4 linked regions of the Caenorhabditis elegans genome follow. Changing the gene in region 3 together with the main gene of any one other region gives a genetic interaction. Each region holds a gene or a part of one and is shown on either strand. Other genes may lie near its edges.

Evidence for each region.
Region 1: of pos-1 (region 3) and mes-6, a change in one rescues a mutant of the other (synthetic rescue), as found in Caenorhabditis elegans (one study listed by BioGRID).
Region 2: of pos-1 (region 3) and mes-3, a change in one rescues a mutant of the other (synthetic rescue), as found in Caenorhabditis elegans (one study listed by BioGRID).
Region 4: of pos-1 (region 3) and mes-4, a change in one rescues a mutant of the other (synthetic rescue), as found in Caenorhabditis elegans (one study listed by BioGRID).

The regions. Positions count from the first base shown.
Region 1 is NC_003282.8:8,509,626-8,513,987, reverse strand, and holds mes-6 (Polycomb protein mes-6), read right to left. Parts: upstream 2,705-4,362; 5' UTR 2,552-2,704; coding exon 2,357-2,551; intron 2,303-2,356; coding exon 2,072-2,302; intron 2,032-2,071; coding exon 1,858-2,031; intron 1,814-1,857; coding exon 1,629-1,813; intron 1,446-1,628; coding exon 1,365-1,445; intron 1,287-1,364; coding exon 927-1,286; intron 816-926; coding exon 662-815; 3' UTR 566-661; downstream 1-565. Other genes in the region: cks-1 (Cyclin-dependent kinases regulatory subunit), read right to left, coding at 1-38; C09G4.4 (uncharacterized protein), read right to left, coding at 222-348, 401-455, 511-565; FYVE, RhoGEF and PH domain-containing protein tag-77, read left to right, coding at 3,448-3,589. UniProt on the Caenorhabditis elegans protein: Polycomb group (PcG) protein. PcG proteins act by forming multiprotein complexes, which are required to maintain the transcriptionally repressive state of homeotic genes throughout development.
Region 2 is NC_003279.8:4,995,108-5,002,882, forward strand, and holds the start of mes-3 (Polycomb protein mes-3), read left to right. Parts: upstream 1-1,731; 5' UTR 1,732-1,736; coding exon 1,737-1,788; intron 1,789-2,409; coding exon 2,410-2,628; intron 2,629-2,688; coding exon 2,689-2,852; intron 2,853-2,903; coding exon 2,904-2,988; intron 2,989-3,534; coding exon 3,535-3,786; intron 3,787-3,833; coding exon 3,834-3,978; intron 3,979-4,285; coding exon 4,286-4,412; intron 4,413-4,464; coding exon 4,465-4,583; intron 4,584-4,682; coding exon 4,683-4,739; intron 4,740-5,129; coding exon 5,130-5,244; intron 5,245-5,293; coding exon 5,294-5,580; intron 5,581-5,626; coding exon 5,627-5,750; intron 5,751-6,447; coding exon 6,448-6,707; intron 6,708-6,754; coding exon 6,755-6,818; intron 6,819-7,048; coding exon 7,049-7,243; 3' UTR 7,244-7,775. UniProt on the Caenorhabditis elegans protein: Component of a Polycomb group (PcG) complex. PcG proteins act by forming multiprotein complexes, which are required to maintain the transcriptionally repressive state of homeotic genes throughout development.
Region 3 is NC_003283.11:8,412,268-8,415,798, forward strand, and holds pos-1 (RNA-binding protein pos-1), read left to right. Parts: upstream 1-1,817; 5' UTR 1,818-1,826; coding exon 1,827-2,225; intron 2,226-2,277; coding exon 2,278-2,673; 3' UTR 2,674-2,987; downstream 2,988-3,531. Other genes in the region: vha-18 (putative V-type proton ATPase subunit H 1), read right to left, coding at 1-88, 132-618, 663-877, 931-1,066, 1,111-1,208. UniProt on the Caenorhabditis elegans protein: RNA-binding protein that coordinates cell fate specification and differentiation during early embryogenesis.
Region 4 is NC_003283.11:13,432,531-13,439,368, forward strand, and holds mes-4 (Histone-lysine N-methyltransferase mes-4), read right to left. Parts: upstream 5,016-6,838; 5' UTR 4,984-5,015; coding exon 4,968-4,983; intron 4,919-4,967; coding exon 4,652-4,918; intron 4,601-4,651; coding exon 4,344-4,600; intron 4,295-4,343; coding exon 3,720-4,294; intron 3,672-3,719; coding exon 3,368-3,671; intron 2,938-3,367; coding exon 2,587-2,937; intron 2,309-2,586; coding exon 1,907-2,308; intron 1,854-1,906; coding exon 1,722-1,853; intron 1,357-1,721; coding exon 1,204-1,356; intron 1,152-1,203; coding exon 912-1,151; 3' UTR 520-911; downstream 1-519. Other genes in the region: srd-17 (Serpentine Receptor, class D (Delta)), read right to left, coding at 1-184. UniProt on the Caenorhabditis elegans protein: Histone methyltransferase. Dimethylates 'Lys-36' of histone H3, a specific tag for epigenetic transcriptional activation. Plays a central role in early development and is responsible for all H3 'Lys-36' dimethylation until about the 40-cell stage.

The sequences.
Region 1 (4,362 bases), on a different chromosome or scaffold from region 3:
TTGTTTGAATAGTAGAAATCATTGTTTCCAGTTGTCATTTTGTTGGTTGGCGTGAGAAGGTGCGACTCTGAAATAATTCATTTTATTAACAAGCATCGGGAAATAGAAACGGACAAAAATAAGGAAAGAATAAAAAATATTGAAAAAAAAGAGAAGAATGGGAATGAGACAAGAGTGAGAATGGTGAGGAACACTGCATGTACAGACAAATCGATAAATGCTCATTGCTGACGCTGTCTGAATTGATCGATAACATCAACAGAGTCGAGTTTCCCGCGTGTTTCAAAATACTCGTCCTTTGACATTGGAATTTGACAGTGCTTGGTTGACCCAGCAGAGGAAGATGATCTGAAATAAAAAAGGTAATAACATGAAAGCTAATAAAATTTTCAAAACTCACTGAACATTCAAAAACGTCTTCTTTTTGTCACTTTGTAAGTTGCTGTCGACTGTCACTGAATTAGAAAAATTAGATAATCAGAAAACGAAAATAATCTCTTCGAAACTCACACATAAAGCTATGTTTAGGTGAAGAATAATCCTTAGAGGAGGTTGGGGATGACATTAGGAACTGCAAAATTGTAATGTAAAATCCACTGAAGATGATCGAAGATGAAATCACAACGAGATATAAAAAATTGAAGGTGAGAAGGAATGATATTCAAAATTTTGCCAGGTCCTTAGCGTCGACAGACGCAGATACACGATCAAATCGACAAACAAATCCTTCGTCAGTTACTAGTACTAGGAATCGGCCACATGTAGAGAAAGAAGCTTGCCGAACTGTACGTGAGCCAACGGAACAAGTGTGAGTCCTGTAAAAAAAAAAACAGGAATTTATACTGGTAATCACAGCAAAAATATTTCTATAATTTTTAAGAGATATCGAACATCTCAGAAATTATTTTTCTTGATATTTTACTTACGGATTGGTTTCTTCATTATTTCTCAAATCGAAAAACATCACAGAACCACCAGCTCCACCGCACACCAGCCATCGTCTTCTTGGATCAACGGCGAATTTGATAAACCATGCAGAACCACTCGGAACATTCATTGTACGAAATTTCGTTGTACACGACTTTGGACGGAGAACATTTCCATGAATGCGATTTTCAACTTCTCCCTTAGGTGGCCCAAATCTCCAAAAATGAATTGCCTTTTCATTGCCACATCCTTTTGATAGTGCGTAGTTAGTACCGATAAGAAATCGAATGCAATCCACATAATCAGAATGCATATCAGTTGATACGGAGGATGGAGTATAAATTGGAAGAAGGCAGCTCCTGAAAAAGAAGAAAACGATAGAACCAGATTCGTTGAAACAACTTTAAAAAAGTAATGGATGCCGAAAATCAACGTACGGTCGGGGTATGAGCTCTCTGTGAAGTTCGAGCAATTGATCTTCTTCTTTGTCGGGAATGTTGCGAGAAACTGCAGACTTTCTAAAAATACAAAAATGAATTACATTATGATTTGATAGCCCTGGTCTCTTTATTTACCAGTCTTTTATCCAAAACTCAAGTTTCAAAAATATTTTTATATACAACAACAGCAACAATTTTCGCGTTAAGGACTGATCAAATACTAGAAGGAACTAGAAAATGTTAGCTGAATAATTGATTTACCTCATTGTTCCTTTCGAAACATACGGAATATCTTGTGATTGTGTTAGCACATTTATTTTATCTTGGTGAAGAGCTTTGCACGCTCGTTCCAAATGTTCCTTTACTTGTTTCACAGATAAATCCCACTCCATGAGTTGATGATCGAATCCACACGATAAAATGAAGTCTCCGTCGGTTGACCAATCCTAAAATGAGAAATTCGAAACGTAAGTAAATTTAATAAACCAACCACAGAAAGAATTGTTCCAGCATGACACTCGAGACCCCCAATAACAATCAGACATGCTTCGTTTCGAATATGATGAATCCGGATAGATTGATCTGATGAAGCACAGACAATCAGATTTGAGTTGGCAGGACACGTACGAATGTCATTGATTTCCCATCCAACACTCCGAAGACGCTAAAACTCCAAATTATTTCAGTAATTTTTGATTATTTACATTCGACAGCTTCCTCGAGACGTAGTCGATAACGTAAATGTGACCCAAAGTTCCACCCGTTACAACTTTAAAGGGATTTCGGTCGTTTTCAGCTTCATATGTGTCGTAACACCAGGTAACAGTGAAGAGCGACTCCTCTCGTTCGACCTTTGATGATTTATCGGTAGGAAAATTACAAGACCACTGCAGCTCAATGTTATTTATGTCGATGGGAACAGAATACATGTGAAGCTGAAAAACAAATATTTATACCTCATTGTCAGTTTCCTGCTAAATAACGCTTACAAAGCTTCCTCCGACAGTTGCAACCGCTTGTTCCTCATCTATTCCTGCGTATTGATTGAATGCACATCCGTAAATAGCTTTCTTCTGATCTTCAAGTAGCTTGGCAGTTAGTACAAAAGGTCGTTTTCCGTAATCCTCTGTACTTCGATCAAACCCGTGAAGATTTAATGATTTGAACTTTTTCGTGTGCTCCATTCAGGTTTTTGGGAAAAAGGCAAGAAACAATATATAACAAAATAAAAACTTCACAGTAAAAACATAAAAAAGTCGATTAACTATCAAATTTGCAGTGAAAAAGGAAAAAAATGACAATAAAAACAACAGAAAAACTAAAATATGGCCGCTCGCGCGCATTTCTCGTTCAAATTGCATTAGTGGTGAAAAGCGCGGCGAGACCCAACGAGCGCATAACCTCATGCACCTTTAAAGTGTTATTTTTTTATTACAATTTTTTGTTCTCATTTTGGATTCTGTTCGAAAGTTCCGGGAGGTATTTGTGATTTCGATTGGGAATATGATAGAAAAGACAGTTGCCAGCTTAAATTTTGTATTGTCGTGAAGTACCACTTCCAATTTCGGAGTGGATTCGAACGGGATTAAGTAGATTTTGTACTCGGCTTTTTTCGCAAGGAGCGAAACTAATAATTTTGTATATTTTTTTTGTATGATCCTATATTGCTACGTGAGCTATTGTCAGTTAAAAAAAATGTTTTTGTGGTCTTTTTCAGATTTCAGAGCGATCAACTTGGGGGTATTCATTCATATTTATTATTTAGTAAAATTGTCCTTATATCAAAAGATCCACTTTGTGAATTCCGTAGACTTCTTTCATTTTTGCTATTTCGAATTTGTCTTCGTCGGCTGCTGACTCATCCATATCCCTGCGTCTCCAATGCCTGATTCTCTGCGTCTTGTGTGATTTTTTGTTGCTTCAACCTGTTCTTCTAGCGGTTGCCTTTTTCTCATGCTGTGACTGTTCCCGTTCATTACTAATTCTTAATTTCATAATATTTTAGTGTTATCGTTTTTTCTTCAATTTTTTAGCCAAAATGTTATCTCGAACGAGCTATAGTTATTTTCAGATCGCCTGTATGAAATATGACATGAACCATCGCAAAAATTCTGATGATACTCCACCGGCGTCTAGGACCGTCAAAGAAATGATGGCAGAGTTTCAAAATAAACTGGACGACGGAGACAACAGATTCCGGAAGCAACCACCACCGCCACCTTGTGAGTCTGAAACAGAGAAGACGTCTTGTATTTACTGTCGACAATTGATTGAGGCGTAGCAAAAAACTTCGTTTGCTTTGTTATCTGTGGAGAAAATAAAAGTTACGAAATTTCTTGAAAAAAAAAACTAAAAAATAATTTTTTTAAAAACTATTTATGTCTGTATTTATTGATAATAACTAAATAGATCATATGATCATAGTATTGAAAAAGAGAGAACCGAAAATCGGGTTGACAATGATTCTGTGAGTTAAAAAAAACAGTCAATTTTTCGAAAAAAAAATCTGCCTTAAACTCCACCAACAGTGAATCGAATTAATTTTTAAAGGAAATTAAGTTCTCATTTCAATTTATATATTCGTTGTTAGAATCTAGACGAAAATTCATAAATATTTTGTTACTATCATTTTTTTTTCTATTAACTTTTACAATATCGTAGAACAACTGATTTCCGTGTTAAAATTGTTTTTTGACTGTTCTTCTTCCTATTGCTTTTTGTTAACGAAAAATGCCCAATTTTCTTCAAAGTTCCTATCAAATCTGTACAGACGCGTGACCGATTGCGAAAGTAGTCAAAAAGAAGTATAAAGGCTTTTCGCAATATTGTTTGCCTAAAGGTGCCACTTGACAGATTTTACTCCTTTGTCGCCAAGAAGTGTACTAGTAATAAATTTTAGAAAATTGGGTTGTGTCCTTATATTAATTACTTGGATTATCGCCAACATTTGATTAAAATAGTCATTCTTGTGTGAACACTTGCCAAAAATATATTC
Region 2 (7,775 bases), on a different chromosome or scaffold from region 3:
ACAATTAATAAATTGTTTAATTTTGGATGTTTGTAGAGGTTTTTCGTGTTTTCTCATGATTTTACGGGAATCCTTTTGATTTTTTTGGTTAAAAACAAATTATTGGTGGTCTATGAATGCATTTTTCACTGTAAAATAGTGGAAACCGCCGTTATCCTCTTGAGAAAGTTCTAAAGTTCCATAAATTGTTCAGTTTCGCGGTTTTTCATTGAATAATTTGTAATTATTGTTTTTCGAACGTACAATTATCAAAAGAAAATCACGAAAAATCGCCAAATATTCCAAAATTCGATCGAATGGAGGTTTATTCTTCATTCCCTTCAAAATAGATTTATAATAATCTCTTGTTCGAACACTCCCTCTTCCCGCAGCGAAAGTGTAATAAAATGTCCAATAATCTAGCTAGATCTAGTTCAATAACTCATCAATTATATTGCCCTTTGATGTAGTTTTATAATGTCATAAAGTGCACACTTCTAAGAGTGGGCAGCTAAAAAATGCACTTGTTGCTCTTTTTTTCGCACCCTTCATACTTTTTTGGATCGATTTCTTTCATTTGATATTCATAATGACCTAATGTTTCCGCTGTACACTGTATCTGCACTCACGTGATGGGTCTCGCCACGGTAATAATATTACAAAATGATTTTGCCTATGCGTCTTTGAGTTTACTGTAGAAAATTAGTAATACATTTTTCAGCTCTACTTCTTTCTTCGCAGATTATTTTTCTGTGAGAACAAGAATACACAATTTATCCATTTCCATTCAATGAAAATGTATGACAGCGTGATTTCGATAAATCAACAATTGAATCCTTTTTCTTTAAACTTATAACTTCAATTGACATATTTTTAATTTCATTGTAAAACTTGGAATATAATTTCGTTGGTTTCAGTCTCTCATCCGTTCCAAATTATAATTCCAAACTCTCGAACGCGGAGACATGCGCACGCTCCTCTTCCTTTCCCTCGAGTAGGCGTCGCTCCTTCTCTTTTATTGATTTGTCGTGCTCTCCGCTCTTGTTTGAACGCGACCAATATGACTCATTTTTTTAATATTTAAAGTTTTTAAGCACATGCATAGTGCATTGCTCGCTTTCTACCTCTACGCGTTGTTCATGGCTCTAAAAACAAAGAGCGTACATTTTTTGAAATTCTATTTAAATAAATAAAATTATTATTGAGAATTCATCCGAAATATCTGTGAAATATCAAGCCAAACATATTTTTTATAATCCTAAAGTTAATAAAATTAAAATAAAGTATAGTCATTTTGTAAATTTGCTCAAAATGACAGAAAATGGACCGTAATAACCAAATATAGATGTTAAACATGCATAGAACTTTTCTAAATTTTTTTTTTAATTTTGCAAAAAGGTTCTTACGGTACATTTTTAATCAACCATTAAGTTTTACAAATCTTCATAGGTATAATTTTTTAATGAACAAATTGTTTGACTGGCAATAACCACGCATTCCTTCATTCGATTCCTTATCGAACCAGCCGTCTGTCTGAATATGATGTGAATTTCTTTTTTATTCTGCGTCTCCTCAATTGACATACTCTCTACTCAGTTTCCCAGAACGAAGTCTCTCTCATCTGACATTATATCTTTTTTGCGCTGTTCGTTTCACATTTTTCTTTCTCTCTCTCTCTCTGATTGGCGATTTCGAGATAAATCGATAATCTCGATCTTTGCTAAACTATTTTAAAACACAAAAAATCATTGCAGGGTATGACTCCGGCGACGGCAGAGGTGAAAGTTGGAGGGAGAAAACGGAAGAATGGTTAGTTGGAGAATAGGACATTTACTGGAATTTACAAAAATCAAATTCTTAAAATCAATTTTTAATTAATTTTGAAACATAAATCCCAATCGCGCCGAGACCCGCGTATTCTAACACAACGCTCACCTTTAAAAATAGTTAATTTTTTATTCGAGAAACTCGGCCTGAAACTTTTTATTTAACTTCTTGTTTAAATTGTAATTTAAACTATTATAATTAAAGTTTTTCCTGTTTTCTTAATTTTTCCACCAGTGAAAATTATTTTCGGCAATTCTACAAAATTACCTATTGTGCCATTTTGTTCCATCATATTTTATTACAAAACAGTGTCAAAAAATAGAAAATTACTTGAATTATCTAAAAATAACATTTATTTAAGCTGAAAAAATTTGAAAAATTGTTCAAAAATGGCTTGAAATTCGATGTTTCGTTTAATCAGCAATTGGCAACTCTCAGGCCATTTTTGAACACTTTCCCAAAATTTTATGCTAAAATAAATGAAATAAATGTTATTTTCAGATCAATAAAGTAATTGTCTATAGTTTGAAATTAATTTTTTTTCTGTCAAATTATAGTAATTTTTAGCATTTTTGAATTAATACTTTAAGCTTATTTTTGCAGATGAGCCGGTTTTTATCAAGACAAAACAATCGAGGTCAGCTCGTCGAGAAGAAGAAAAAGAAAATCTTTTGAACAAATCTCTTCCGTCAACTCCAACTTCATCAGAGGCCGGAAGTTCTCGGGAATCTTCAAATCCAGTCACAAGCTCCAGTAGACGAAAGAATCCACCTACCAAATTAGAAAATATTCAAAAAACGTTGCCGACTTGCAGTGACGGACGTTAGTTTTAAAAATCATTAATTAAAATCTCAATTTTTCTATTAATTCACATTTTTTCAGTTGAAATTCGCAATTATGTGAAAAAATATGGATTGCCGGAAGATAACAAGTTTCTCGTTCGTAATGTCTTCGACAAACAATTATTATTTGGAAAGAAATATGTGTGTAGAAGGCGTGTGATTAAAAGCATCGATGAATTTTTCCCGCGACTAAAGACCGATGCGGTTTGTTTGAATTTTTGATGGATTCATTTGCAAAATAAATTTTTCTTTCAGCACAGAGAAAATGGTTTATATAATTTCTGTACTCTACAATTCATGAAAATATCCTCCTGGGGAAGTTCGATGGATGAGAAGATTTGTTAGTTTATTTTTGAAAATTTTGAAAAATTTGAAACGAAATCTCGATAAAAACACTTAATTCGAAAAAGACCAACAGAAAATCACTTTGAACTAAAAATATCTATTCAATATTGATTGAAACCATATTTCACAAGAAATAAAAGTCTTTTTGAAATTTGGTTTTAAAAAAAATTATTTTTTTAATTAAAAAAGTCAAAAAAAATTGAAAAGTTCTGATTTGCATTATAAAACAAAAAATGAATTAAACTCAATAAATATATAGCCAGAAAACGCGAAAATGTCGGAATTCGCTTTTTTTTTCAGTTTTTGCAATTTCCTAAAATCACACAAAATTTATAAAAATTATTTTTTTCCTATAGTTTAAAGCAAATTTAATGATTTTGAAATGTTTGAGGTTTTTTTTCAAAAAGTAAGAACAATATTTCCAAAAAAATGAAATTATTTTCTAATTGTAAATTAAGATTCAAAAATACACACACACATAGTTTTTTTCGGTTTTAAAATTATTTTCTCATTAATTCATTAAAAAAAAGAACATTTTCAGATGTTACTTCTGCTGCAATTGTTCAAAGCTACGTGATAATTGTCGACGATAATGATTCAGTCACCTGCATTGAAAATGGAATCTCAGTTATTCCAATGGCGAATAGAACGTTACCATCTATCTCCTATAACAGTTCAAATGTAAAAAATATCACTTTGACGGGCCCTGAACTGAAAAAGGCAAAAAACGTATATCTCGCAGTGATTGTGAAACGAAAAACACCAAAACTTGGAGAAAATCGAGTTGGGACAAGTGAGTGAAATCATTTCTTTTTTTTAAATAAAAAGTTTCTTTTGTAGGAGGAAAATCAACTCGAGCATCATTCGAAACGGCTGCTTCCTCAGAAAACTTTCAGCAACTTGTTCGTTTTGGGTGCACTTTGATGTATGATAAGGATGCTGAAATTAACTGCCTAAATGACGGAGTTCAACGTATTATCTTACTGTAAGTCGCTTTAAAATTATAAATGCAAAAATTTAAAAACTTAAAAATTCAAAAAAAATTAAAATACTTTAAAAGTTTTTTTTTCCAAAATTTATCCGAAGGTGAATCTATAAAATTAAACTGGCCTGCTAATTTTTTAAAAAGGGGGTTTTCTGAAGATTTTGAGCGAAAACTGTTGTCAAAATAAATAAAAAACTGAAAAACATTTTTTTTCGAGAAACACGCGCTCAAATTGACGGGTATACGGTAGAAAATATTTTTTCAAAAAAAATTGTATAATGAAAAATATTGCTCTTGATTTTTCCAGTGATCGAGAAGAAAAGCCAGCGTATTTGAAAATTTTCGGGAAGGCCGATGAACCGGAACTCGAGAATGCTTGGATGAATAATGTTAAGCATTTGGAGTTTATAAGCGATACAAATTATAACAAAGAGGTAACGATGAAGAGTTAATAAACTTTTATAAATAATTGATTTTTTTCTACAGGATTCTCATCTCGCTCGTCTAATCTTCTCTTCAAATACTCATAATTATTTCGATAGACCGGACATTTCAAAATTCTCTCCATGGCAGCCGCGATCCAGAAGGACGACACTAAAATCTGGGTGAGAAATTCGATTTTTTCTCTTTTTTTAATTTTGTTTTTATCTGGTTTTTGCACGACCGTAATCCCGCACGCTTATTGTGTTTTCCATCATTTTCAGAATCTCCGTCGAGCCAGGAACGAGTTGCGATGAGGATTGTGGATCGCAATATGAAGAGTTCGTTTTTGATCCCTACCACCTGATTTTTTGTTTGAATATCTAATTTTTAAATCACTAAGTTTGCTGGATTTTTTCCCTTACAGAATTTCTAATTTCGGGTGCATTTCTTCTTTTTTCTTAGTTGGCTGTAATTGATACCTTCCAAATAGCTTGTCGTGATTTTTGAAAACCGTGAAGCTGCATTTCAGAATTTTTGAGTTAAAACTGGGGGGTTTTGTCCAAAATTACAGAAGGCAATCTGCATACACCGGATAGAACTTCAAAAAAAATCATCTAAATTTTATAGTTAATCACTCACTACATTGGATATTCGCGGAACTTCATGTTTCTATCCAACCATAGATCATCTAACTGTTCTTCAAAATTGTTTAGAAAATATAATTACAGTACAATCACTCTCAAGCAGTTACTCCTTGGAACGAAAAAGCTATGCGGAAGACGTAAGAGACATTTGACCCGACTCACTTCAAGATGGCCGTGTTTTTCAGTCGATCCGACGAAGGTAATTCTTAAAAAACTATAATTTCAAAGCTTAAGTGCAATTATTTCAGATCAATTCATATTTCAATGAAACTGGTGTCACTTTGCTGGAAAATTCGTGTTCCTACCGTCCTGGAACTCAACGAAGCATTCCAATAAAACCTACCCGAGTGATCAGAGTTAGAGAAGAAACTCCAGTTTCCGTTCCAATTGAGGTTATTACGATTGAAGATGATTCAGATGATTCACCATGTTTTTCTGCGAGAAATCGAGCACCAGGTGGAACACGGAAATATGGATTAGATTTTATACAATCTTCGGGTCATATGCCATATATTCGTTATGTTTATATGAACAGGTAATTTGATTTAATGCAATCCAGTAAAAAAATATATGATTTGCAGAGCAAATGACTTAGTGCCCCAGCTGAATGGCGAAGAAAATGGAAAAATCGAAGGTCTTATGGAAGCATATCCGATGAATAATGCTCACATGTATTCAGATATTGAGTTCCTGAGAAAAGAAAAAGTAAGAATTGTTTTTAAAAAAAAGACATAAAAGTTGTAATAATTTTCGCTTTTTTCACTAAAATCGAAAATGGAATTTTTTGTTTCGATTTACTGATTTTTGCAAAAATAAAACAAAACTTTAAGATTTTTCTTTTTTCCGATATTTCGAAAAAATTGCATAATTTGTTTTCTTTTTAGAAGCAATTTGTATGTATTTCTGAAAAAGCGAACAAAATTGTTTCCTGAAGGCGAAATCTATTTTTCCCTCAAAAACCCAAAAAAAAAAAAAAAAGTGAGAAAGGAAAAATTGAGAACCTTTCATTATATTTTTTGAATTTTTTGAATTGACTCCAAAAACAGGAAAAAAAAAACAAAAAATCCCAGCCTTGATTACGATATTAAAAATTTTCTATTGTGACATGTTGCTCCAACAATTTGTATTTAAAATTAATGTCAAAATATAGAAAAACACTCGAATTATCTGGAAATAACATTTATTCTGGCTGAAAATTTTGAAAAAGTACTCAAAAAATGTCCTGGAAGTTGCTGATTGCCAATTATCGAATTATTGAATTTCAGGTAATTTTGAACACTTTCTCGAATGTTTTAGTTGAAAAAAAGTTATTTTCAGATAATTCTAGTGATTCCTGCACTGAACACTAAAAAAAACTTGTCGCCGCAAACAAAAAAAATTAAAGCAAAATTACAAATTTCAGTTGAATCTTCCGAAGAATGCTCAAAAATATGGCGAAATGACAATTCTTGACTATCCACTAACGAAGACGGAAACGGACGAATATAATAAAAAGATGTCTGTGATGAATGTCAAAGATTTTGCGGTTAAACCCAGAAAACCTATTCCAACAGTCGGAAATACCACTTTAAGTTTGGATTTGGAAGGATGTCCTATATCGACATTTTCAGAAATATTCTTCCCAAGTGGAAAAACTGAACTATTCAATATTCTATGCAGACAGTAAGTGTTATAATATTAAGTCATATATTAAAACCCAATTTTTGAAGTTTCTACTCTGAAGCTGGACAACGCCCTGGATGCTTCTCAGCACAATGGAAATCTAGAGTTTTGGTGAGTTTATTGAACATTCAGGACTAGATTGGCAAACGTACGGAATTGCTTAGTACAGTATTTTTGAATCAAAACCTTTAAACTTCTTTTCAACGAAAATGAAAATTATTTTCAGAGTCTTTGATTCTACAAAAAATGAATTAGCGTACTAAAATAAGCATCTCAACACTTTTGCCAAGATTTGCCTTAACTTAGAACGCATTTTTGAATTTTTCATAAATAATTTTCAGACTGGCTTCATCAACAAATACCATCAGTACATTTTCGACATGAAATTGAATTCTTTATTCGAGAAACAAATAAATCTCATCGCTATGGTCAGCCCTGACTGGAAATTAGAAGATTTTGAATTGCCCATGGTTCGATATAAGCAATTGAAAAAAGAATGGAAAAATCGCCAACGAGATATACCATCTTCTAATTAGATTATCCCCTTTTTTCCTTGTATCTTTTTCTTTTTGGAAATCCTGTGTTTAATCTCTTTTCCATTTATCAATCAACTATACCAAATCGTGGTGGGTGGCAATTCTACTAAATGACATTAAAAATTAGTCTGAAAACATAGAAAATAATTTGATTCTTCTGCAAATAACATTTGTTTCAGTTGAAACACTTGAAAAAATGATTAAAAATTACCTGGAAGTTGGAAATTGTCGAATTTTGCTATTCGGCAATTGGAAACTTTCAGACTATTTTTGTGCAATTTTCAAATCTTTCAGCTGAAATAAATGTTATTTTCATATTTTTAAATAAATTAATTTTCTATTTTGAGACTAATTTTTAATGAACAATATTGGCCAATTTATGGAATTGCCAAAAGTAATTTCCACCCACCGCTGATCCCAAAAATACTACAATTTTTAGCACCTTTTGACCCAAAGAACGTCGTACTTCAATGATCTTCCAGATTACACGAGTCATCACTAAGTTTTTCTTCATTTCTTTTTCTTTCATTTA
Region 3 (3,531 bases):
CCTGTCTGAGTTCATTTTCGTATTCATCGAAAGATGTCAGCACTTGGACAACTTTTTTGAGTTCAGTCTGGAGATATACCATATCTTCCTGCAAACTTATAGTTCGATGAAGTCTTTCACTAATAAATTACCACAAGGTCCACATCAGTAAATTTTCGATTCTCCAGATGATCCAGTTTAGTCGGAATACGATTTTGAATCATTTGAAGAGCAGCTTGCTTTTTCATGTAAACATCCTGATTTGAAGTGATAAGGTTCCGCAGTGTGGATACTACAATTCTGATTACTTTTTCCTTTTGACAATTGCCCAGAATTCCAGATATCGTTTGAATAAGATTCCCAGACAAAGCCACTTCTGCAGCATGTCCGTTGAAAGTGAGAAGCCACATGCAGAAAATTATTTGGTACTGAATTTGAAACCCGCATTTTCGAGTCGAATATAGAGCATGAGTCAGTGAGTCGTAGCCATTGATGTTGACAAATGAAACTCGATATGGATCGAATCTGAATAAAGTTTGCATGCATCTAACTGCTGTAACAATGTAGTCGTTGTTTGTTCCTCTATTCATCGCCTCTTTCAAAGATCCCATGCAATAGTCAAGTTCGTCTCCAGATAATCTGAAATAGTTAGAATTAATTAATGTATCTCAAGCGTATCCAACTTTATATTTCCAAAAACAGCCATTTTTGTGAGAATCGAGAATGTAATATGTACAATGTATTGATCTTGACGATGGAGAAGACCCATGAAAAAAGAAAAGGGAGATCTTTTCAGAAGAACTGCAACGTCTTCAAAAATAATTGTTCTTGTGACGTCTTCGCGGAGCATATCATCGATCAGCGTTAGAGTGTACCTGACGTAATCATCTTTCGAAATCTGAAAAAAAGAAACTAATAATTTCGAAATAGGCTTATGAAATATGATTTCACCTGAGACATCAGATGAACAAAAGCGTACACAGCCTTTTCCTTGAAAACCGAGAGTACTGTGCTCCGTTCTGCCTCGTTTTCTGCTTGTTGATAAGTCACGATAAAGTCGTAATCACTTTGAGCAATCATTCTTGTTCTGAAAAATTACTACGTAATATGGAAGATAGATAGTAAATATACCTCGTGAAAAGTCCCCAATTGGTTTTCATTGCTCGAACTTTGTCGGCTTCTTTTTGAAAATGAGTGCGAATGAGATCCTGATTCTCCCCAAATACCATTTTGAAACTGAATCAAAGAAAATTAACTTTTAAAATGAGGACAAACACAGAACGTGGAAAATGTAGAAATGGAAAATCACGGTGGTACAGCAGCTAGATGAGTGCAAATGCGCTCTACCGAACAAACCCAAATTTGACCGGTTAGGAAATTTTCAATCAAAAAAATTTTCAATAGAAAAGATAGAGAATTTTCTTGCGGCCATTTTTCATATGCATCGCAAATTCAAATTTGGGGTTAGTTTTCGAGATAGCAGCCAATATAGGTTTTCAGACTGAGTATCATAAACCAAGCCATCTAGTTTCTGTGCTACCATGAAATCCAACACGGCGATGCGAACACGCTCTATTGCGAAAATTCAAGTTTTTTTTTTCAAAATTTCTCAAAATTTGATCATGATTTCGAGCGGTATTTTTTAATTTTTACTTTTTAGTTTCCGCGAATTTTTGATAAGTAAATTTTTTCGCTCACTCTTTGTTCATTTCATTCAGATGTTCCATTTCAAGGATTTTTTTCCTTTTTATTTTCTTTTCTGCCGGTGCTCCCAAGTTTTCTTGATTTATATTCTCTTCTTTTTCCATCATCATCACAGTTTGTAAATTTATTTTTCTAGATTCAAAATGGCTGACAACGATTTCCTGAGCGGTGAAGCAATCATGGTGTTCAAAAAGGAAATCCTTGACTCCCACAGCGATTTTACTCGATCGCTTTCACATCAGTCAGCATCCCCCGAAGCATATGATCAAGAGAATGTATTTTCTCAAGACTTCCAACCGTTCATGAAACAAGATAAGGAGACGCAGAATTCGGCTTCACAGCCAACTTCTGAACAATCGTTGGCCAATCGTGATCCTTGCACAGTTCCCGATGACCTTCGTGAAGAAATGATGCGTCAAAGGAGAAAGGAAGATGCATTCAAGACGGCTCTGTGTGATGCTTACAAACGCAGTCAGGCATGCTCATACGGTGATCAGTGCAGATTTGCTCACGGCGTCCATGAGCTTCGGCTTCCAATGAACGTAAGTAATCGTTGATCCTACAAATTTCTTATTTTATGACTGGAATTTTCAGCCTCGTGGGAGAAATCATCCCAAGTACAAGACGGTTCTTTGCGACAAGTTCTCGATGACTGGAAACTGCAAATACGGAACCAGATGCCAGTTCATCCACAAAATTGTCGATGGGAATGCCGCGAAGCTAGCAAGTGGAGCTCACGCTAATACTTCATCCAAATCACCAGCAAGGAATGCTGCCGCACACAATCATTCACTCTTCGTGCCTCAGGGGTCGACAGATCGAAGCATGGATCTCAATCAGAGTCTACCAATCCGTCAATCAGATCTCGTTCGTGCGTTTGCTCGTGCCACCCGTTTGGACGTATCTGGATACAATTCTACGGCTCAATTGGCACAATATTTCGAAAGCCAATTCCAGCGGATTCAGCAGCTCTCCTCCCATCATCACTAGTTTCTCTCGTCGAAATTTCTGATCTTGACTAACATGTACTTTCTATTTTTTACTTATGGATTATATAATCAAGTCCAATAACCTGGTGCAGTCCCAAGGACATCATCAATAATTTTCCCCATTTTTGTCGTTCTTTTTCTTCTCGAGTCCGACCCCAAAATGTTGTATTCACAGGCTTTCAAAACTCACCCCCACATTCCCACATTTGTATCTAGTCTGTATATTATTGTTATCTTGAATTTTACCAATGTTTCGTTCTCAATTGCATAGCCCTCGTTATGTGGACTCATAAAATGAAATTTCTCGTAATCAGCATACAATTGTTTCAAGTTTTACGGTGCCTCTGCGGTATTAAAAAGTTCATAGAACCAGCTTACGGTACCATCATTTCTCAAGATTCTCGAGCTTTTTTAAAGACGCACGGATTTATTCAGATGGGTCTCGGCGCAAGAAAAGTTTATGGTAGTTTTTATTTTTGAGGCTCTCATTTCTCAATGAATATACCCTTCATTTTTCTGTGAAAATTTTCTTAAAATGAAATAAACTAATTGAGAAATGCAAGAAAAAAAACGAAGAGGCAGCCTCAAGTATTCAAAAAAGACTTCCATAAACTTTTGCGCACCGAGACCCATTTGAATAAATTCGTGTGCCTTTAAGAAGGCGTGCAAAAATCTTGTGAAAAAACAATAAAAATTAATGTTTCCAATATTTAAAGCGCTCATTTTTATATTTGAAAACAACTGAATATTTCGTTTAAGGTTTATTACTTTATACTTTCCATCTCACAAAAATTGAGATGAGTACTGTAACTGACTGACGTGTTTGTGTTGTGTGTGAGGAAAATCAACTAGTTTCACA
Region 4 (6,838 bases), 5.0 Mb from region 3:
GAATTTGGATGAACAAATCCAAAGCACACTCGAAAAAGTCGGTAACAGCAAAATTGATAATCAAAGTTGCATACGAACGAATTGTCTTCGGTGATTTATAGATAGCCATGTAAATGAGCATTAAATTGAATGAGCATCCAAGTAAAGCCCATATACAGTGCCATATTTCAAAGAACGCGTGCATTATTGAATTGGCAAATGGTGCAAGACTGAAATTTTTAGAATTTTGTCGTATAACAAGCGAACATAAAATAATTAATGAATGAATTATCGCTTCCGCTCAAATGGTTTCAGTCTTCTTTCAAGAAGTCTATCCGAAGATCCTTTGTTATTGTGCATAGGGAAATTAAATGACACGTGGTTTCTCAATAATGTGCATTTTTTTACTTCCGAATCAAAATCTTTAGCAGTGATTCATCGACTCCAATGTCTTTTTTCAAAACAAGTCGTTCCATTGTGTTCTTCTTAATCTTCTCCAGTTTCTCTTTATCGTCATAAAGCAGCGCTTAACTCTGTTTTGTAATTTGCAAAGGTATTTATTACAGATGAGAAAAAAAAGTCGTATTTATCGATATGATGGGACGCAGTAACAAGAACGAAAGAACACATAGGGAAAAAAAAATGACAAGTGAATGAAAGCAATGGTTAAAGCAATAATAAAACCCCTAGTTTAGTGTGAAAATAATTTTCAAAAAAGATGAATAGGAAAGTCTTCGTTATTCTTTGAACGTTGGTCAAATGAATTTCAGCGTTTCCAAAAATTGTGTCGACAGTCCAGGAAAAACTCATAGTACGATTAAAAAGAATGAGGGCACTGTTGATTGAAACTAATTGAAGTAAAATCATAATTTAGTACTTGGAAGACTATTGGAAAGAGTTCAATTGGGCGAGACAGCATATTATTTCACTTTTCAAATCGGTTCAAACCGTTTTGTCTCTTTTTGAACTCGTCCACGAGTAGATATTGCTCTAACTTTGACCTCCACAGTATGAGGTGATGGAACTGATTGTGTCGACAACGCTCGTGCTTTTGTGATAGCCGACTTGGTTGCAGGAAACTCTATCGCTTTTCCGGTTTCTTGAATTGTTTGCAATGATGGCGTAGCTCGTTTCACAGGTGGCGCTTCACTTTCCACATCATCTCGACGGCTCTGTGAATATAATCGAATATAATCGATATTAATACTAATATGATTATCGTACCTTTGATTTTTGTGCCCGTGGTGTTGAAGATGAAGCTGCGCGCGATCGCGATGAAACAGGGCTCAAGAGTTCTTGCGGTTTTTCGTGGAAATTCAACTCTGTAGATGTACTCAATGTTGATCCGGTGTCGGCTACAGGTTGATTGGAATTCTTCTGAAAAACAAATTATGTTTAATGGCTATGTACCTGAATTGAAAATTCGATTTAGACCAAGTTAACTCTAGCAACCAAGGGTGCCATCAAAAATCGAATAATTAAAATTTTCTATTTCCGAAAAAACTCGAAAAAAATGTTTTAAAAATTAACCATAAAGTTCTTTTTTTTTAAAATCAAATTATGTTTATGTTGATGAATAAAATAAGAAAACATTTTTTTAAATTTCTCTCTAAAAAGAAGAACAATTACAAAATTTTTGAAAGATATTTTTCGTGAAAACGAACATTTTCGATTTTAGTGAAAAATCGAAAAACCGACATCATTGCTGGCAGCAATTGATCGATTTAATCTCCAAAAAATACCTTTAAATTTTTCTTATTCTGGGAAATTGGCCATGATGCTTGTTGGACGAAGGAAGTGCTCGACGCGGAGCTTGTGGATGGTTTCGAAGGAGAAATTTCTGATTTCTTAGATGCGGTTCCGTTCTTTCCGGCCTGAAAATAAGAAATAAAATCAAAATGTTGAAACTTAGAAAAAAAGTTGGTACCTCCTGGCTCTTTCTATTCTGATTTTTTACAGATTTCTTCTTGGACGATTTGTTCTTTTTAGCAGCTTTCTCGGAACTATCAGCCACTTCCGGTTTCTCGCGTTTCGCTTTTCCCATTGTACCCATACAGTTTTCAGCTCCACATTCACAGTCTGGTAAGTTCTCCTCATTGTTCATATTGTAACTGAACGTGATCTCGTCGCCGTCGTCAATAGTGCGAATTGCCCGAATATAACTGCGAGTATCATATAAACTGCCTTCTTTGGTTTTCTTAACGAACACTTTTGTAACGAAAGATGCAGCGTTGGGATCGCAAGAATGATTGATGTATCTGGAGATGTTACCGTATCTGGCAGCGTCCACGGTTAATCCTTTGTGCAATTCCATCATATAATGGTTCGCCTTGAAAAAAAAGAGTATTTGGAAAGTTATACGTTGATAACTTAACTCTGATATTTTGCTTCTTAGACCTAAATAGCCCAAATCTACCAAATTTCGTATTTTTTTCTGAAAATGACAATTGGCAAAATATAAAATTTTAGCTGGAAATAGGCATTTTCCCAAAACTTTGAATCGCCGTAACTTTTTTTTGAGAAAATTTCAGAACGTTTTGTTCTAAAATTCGGTTAAAAGAAAAAGTAAAAATTCGTGTTTTTATCGCAAAAAAACTTTTTCCTTACCTGGAAATCTCGCGAAATTGAAACCGAATCCAAGCGCCTCTTCTTTTCAGCTTTATCGATTATTTCTCCAACGTACTCGCATATGTATTCGTCTTTTTCGATTTGACCTTTCGCAAAGACACCGTATCCTTTACACAAAGTGGCTGCCAGTTTGATTTTCTCGCTAACTATTCCCATGGAAACTTGACGATTATGACAAACGCCCTTTTTCGAACAACTCGGGGGACATTCATAATCATCGGCGAGATATTGACACGACAGCTTTGTACAGCGGTCAGCTCCTTCACAATTGCAAACTTCGTTGTTGTGATACTCTTCCAGTTTTGGTTCGCATTTGTAGTACACAGATGTCTGGAATTATGAAGAAATTGCTATAAATAAATCTGAATCGGTTAAAAGTAAGAAAATAATTGTTAAGTTTTTCGGCAATTTTTAGCTGAATTTTTCTGCAGCACTGTTTGCACTTTTGTCCCAAAATGGTCTAAAACTACCAAATTTCGTAATGAGACATTCTCATTTTCCTCCAAAAAGAAGTTAGACGGTTCAAAATTTTGGAAAAAAATGACATTTTTTCAGCTAAAATCTCAAATATTGCAGATCTGACAAATTTCAGAACTTTTTTGTTTTTTTAATTTTTTAAAAGTAATGTTCCGTTGGTTGAGATATTAACTTTCGTCGGTTCCGCAATTTTAGCTGAATAAAAGCCTTTTTCCAAACCGTTGAAAAATACAAAACCATAGTCCGAATTAGATATTTCCTGAAGAATCAGTAGAATACTCACTCTCAGTCTTCCAAATACAGTTTTACACACGTACGGGCATCTCTTCAACGCAGTATCTGCTTGTTCCTCATATTTCTCTTCCCACAAGTTTCTAAGCGTCGAATTCTTTGCCAACGAAAAGTAATTCTTGGTAAGACGGGCGATATCCGAGACCGGCACAATTGACATGAGAGGTTGTTTCTCTTTATCATTTTCTTGGGGTATCAGCCACTGGACAACAGTATATCCAAGACGTTCAAAGTTGATATTACCACGATTTCCAGTAGGGTACTTGTACCAATCGAGTGTTAATGCTAGCCAGAATCTGAATAGAAAATACATGAATTTGATAATTCTGATATTATAAACGCACGAATTGTCCGTCCACTTCGCGAGAATCAATGTATTTTGCGGAATCGGATCTCCACAAACACACGATTCGCATTGATCGTCTGGTATCGGTTTTCCATTCAGCGTTTCCACTTCTCGACATCCAGAATGAAACGATCGGCAACAAGTCTTGCACATGATTGTTTTTGAATTCGAAGATTTCTCACATCCAATTACGCAACACGCTTTGATATGGGATTTCATTGTAACATCCGCTTTCGGAACAACAGTGACGGCGTTTTTTCTTTTTTTATGTTTATTGTAGAATTGAACATCAGCACCAGGTAGATAGTGTGCTGGACAAATTATCATTTCGAACTTCTCCACTTTCCCACCAATTGTTATCGAAACATTCAAATCTCGGCCACCTGATGGATAACACGACGTCAAATGGAAAGCGCGGAGACAGAGAGCACATTCTGCAATATCTCCAACATAAGCCGATTGCTTGTGATGGTCCAAATTGCAACTATTGCAGCAATGAAGAGGGCACAGAAGTCTTGCTTGGCATTCGAGTCGGGCTGCATATTGAAAGTGAAAGCCGCCACTGTTGTAATTCTAAAAGTTTACACGATATTTGATGAAGAAAAATAATCGAATAGCTTACGATCATACAACTCGCGTGAAATTTACTACGACAAGGAAACATTGGTATATTTCCCAAGAGACGCTTGCCGTCGTCCATTTCTCCATTGATGTATCCATGACATGTGATCAAATCAGATTTTCCGGTTTTATCCTTCTCTTCGTGGCAAATCACGCATTTTGAGTCAGCATCTGGAAGAAACTCTCCTTCCGCGTCGGCTTCAATCGGGGTGAATGGCGAAACACTCAGAAACTTTCGTGGCACGTGGGTGAAGGTAGCTGGAAAATTGAAAATTTAATGGACTGCCTGGAATTAATTAATGAAAATACTTTTTGGATAATCTGTGTCAACGAACTCCTCATATTCACTAAGAAATGCCTTCGTTTCCTGTATTTGCATCGAAATAATGTCTTTGGGAGCATTCGTTAGAATCGGTGCTTCTTCTTGCTTGTCTTCTGCATTGGATGAGGTTTCGGAACCCGCGCCTTGTGGAGTAGCATTCCGTTGTTTAACGTTCTTCTTTTTAAAAGGTTTATTTGGTCCTTCTTTCTCAACGATACCGTCCTGTGGAGCACAGTTCTCTTTGCTGGAGTCACCTGGAATTCGATGCATTTTTCGACCTGATTTTCGATTATTTAAACTCACCAGAGCTCGGCAGCATAATTTGGCACCAAGCGCGAGAAGTAAGCAACTCTGAAAATGAAATTAGAATATGAATCGACTTTTTGACAAGTATTAATAAAAGAAAAACAGAAAATGAGACGTTATTCAAGCTGATCGAGGACACATTCGAAAGTCGCGCCTTACAACGATACTCCAAAATGACGGAAGCGCGAATTGTTTAGTTTTTGAGAAATATATGCATTTTTAAAGGAAAACAGCGGAAAACTATCAAAACGGTGATTAATGGAGATTCTTAAGAAAAAAATTTATAATTGTGCGTCCATAGGCTGCGGAAAACGGGAATTTCCCGCGGTCCGAGGCGTCTACAGTGAGAGGGGAAAACGAGGGAGTTTTTCGCTTCGCAATTGGTCAGTTTCAAAAAATTGGGCGTTTCCAACGAATCAGAGGCTGCAAAATTTCAAGCTGAGCAATGAAAAAGCGAAAAACTGCAGGCCCCACCTACTTTTGAATTTTGATAGAAAAAAGGCGAAGAAACTGCACTATGGACGCCTCAGACCGCGAGAAATTTGAATTTCCGTTTTCCGCAAACTATGAACATTCCTTTTAAAAAATATGCCAAGAAGGTTCGAAATCACGGGAAATGCAAAGAAAATCGCTTGCAAAATCCCAAAAAATTGCTGCAAATTTGATTATGTAAATAAGGAGACCCGAAGAACTCGGGGGATGTCCAATTGGGGGGATTACCAACTCGGGGGATTGGCCCCGCCCACAGAACCGTGGCATGCAATACGCCCATTTCTGCAACTGCCGCACGGTTTTAAAACTGTATTTTTCTCAATAGAACGAGAAATAACAAGAAAAAATAATTTTAAAACCGTGCGGCAGTTGCAGAAATGGGCGTATTGCAAGCCACGGTTCTGTGGGCGGGGCCAATCCCCCGAGTTGGTAATCCCCCCAATTGGACATCCCCCGAGTTCTTCGGGTCTCCTATATTCACATCATTCTCGCCATACCTGTGCGGCATTCGGCATTCGGCATATGCCGATGCCGGCATAATGCCGGTTTTTGGAGCACGGCATATGCCGTTATGCCGATTTGAAAATTCACGGCATATGCCGAAAATGCCGTTATGCCGAAAAATAAAATGACCGGCATAACGGCATAATGCCGACATTATGACGGCATTATGTCGTTTTTTTCTGCATTTTTGGCTTTGTTGTTTTTTGTCAAAAACCATATTTTCATAATTTTCGTGTATCCGACGAAACATAAAGATCATGCAAATAGTAAAGTTTCTACGCAGATTGTTCCATTTTTGAGATTTCTTGAAGCTTTTTGCTCGAGCATTTGGAAAATTTCTGCAACAATTTTGGCTTGACTCGAAAATTGTCTGAAAATGCACCAATATGTTTCAAGGCGTGTACATTAAAGGGGGAGTACAGTTTGTGGGTATTTTGCTTAAATAGACTAAAACTGGTCCAAAACCACCGAATTTCATAATGAGACTTCACAAAAAATTTCCAAACATTTTTATGGCCGGTCAAATTTTCGAAAAAAAAAGAGCCAAACTTTGCTAAAATCTAAAATTTCGCACACTTTTCTTTGTCACAGCTGCTGAATTTCTGTTTTTCTGAAATTATCACCCTTTAATCCTTATTTTAGTAATTTATCTCGCGGAAATTCGTTGATTAAGACAACTTTTGGGCCGATAGGCATCCAAAAATGATCAAAATTGGATGCCTAGCGGCCCAGAAGTTGTCTCCATCAACGAATTTCCGGCGAGATAAATTACCAAAACAAGGATTAAATGGTGATAATTTCAGAAAAACAAAAATCCAGCAGCTGTGACAAAGAAAAGTGTGCGAAATTTTAGATTTTAGCAAAATTTGGCT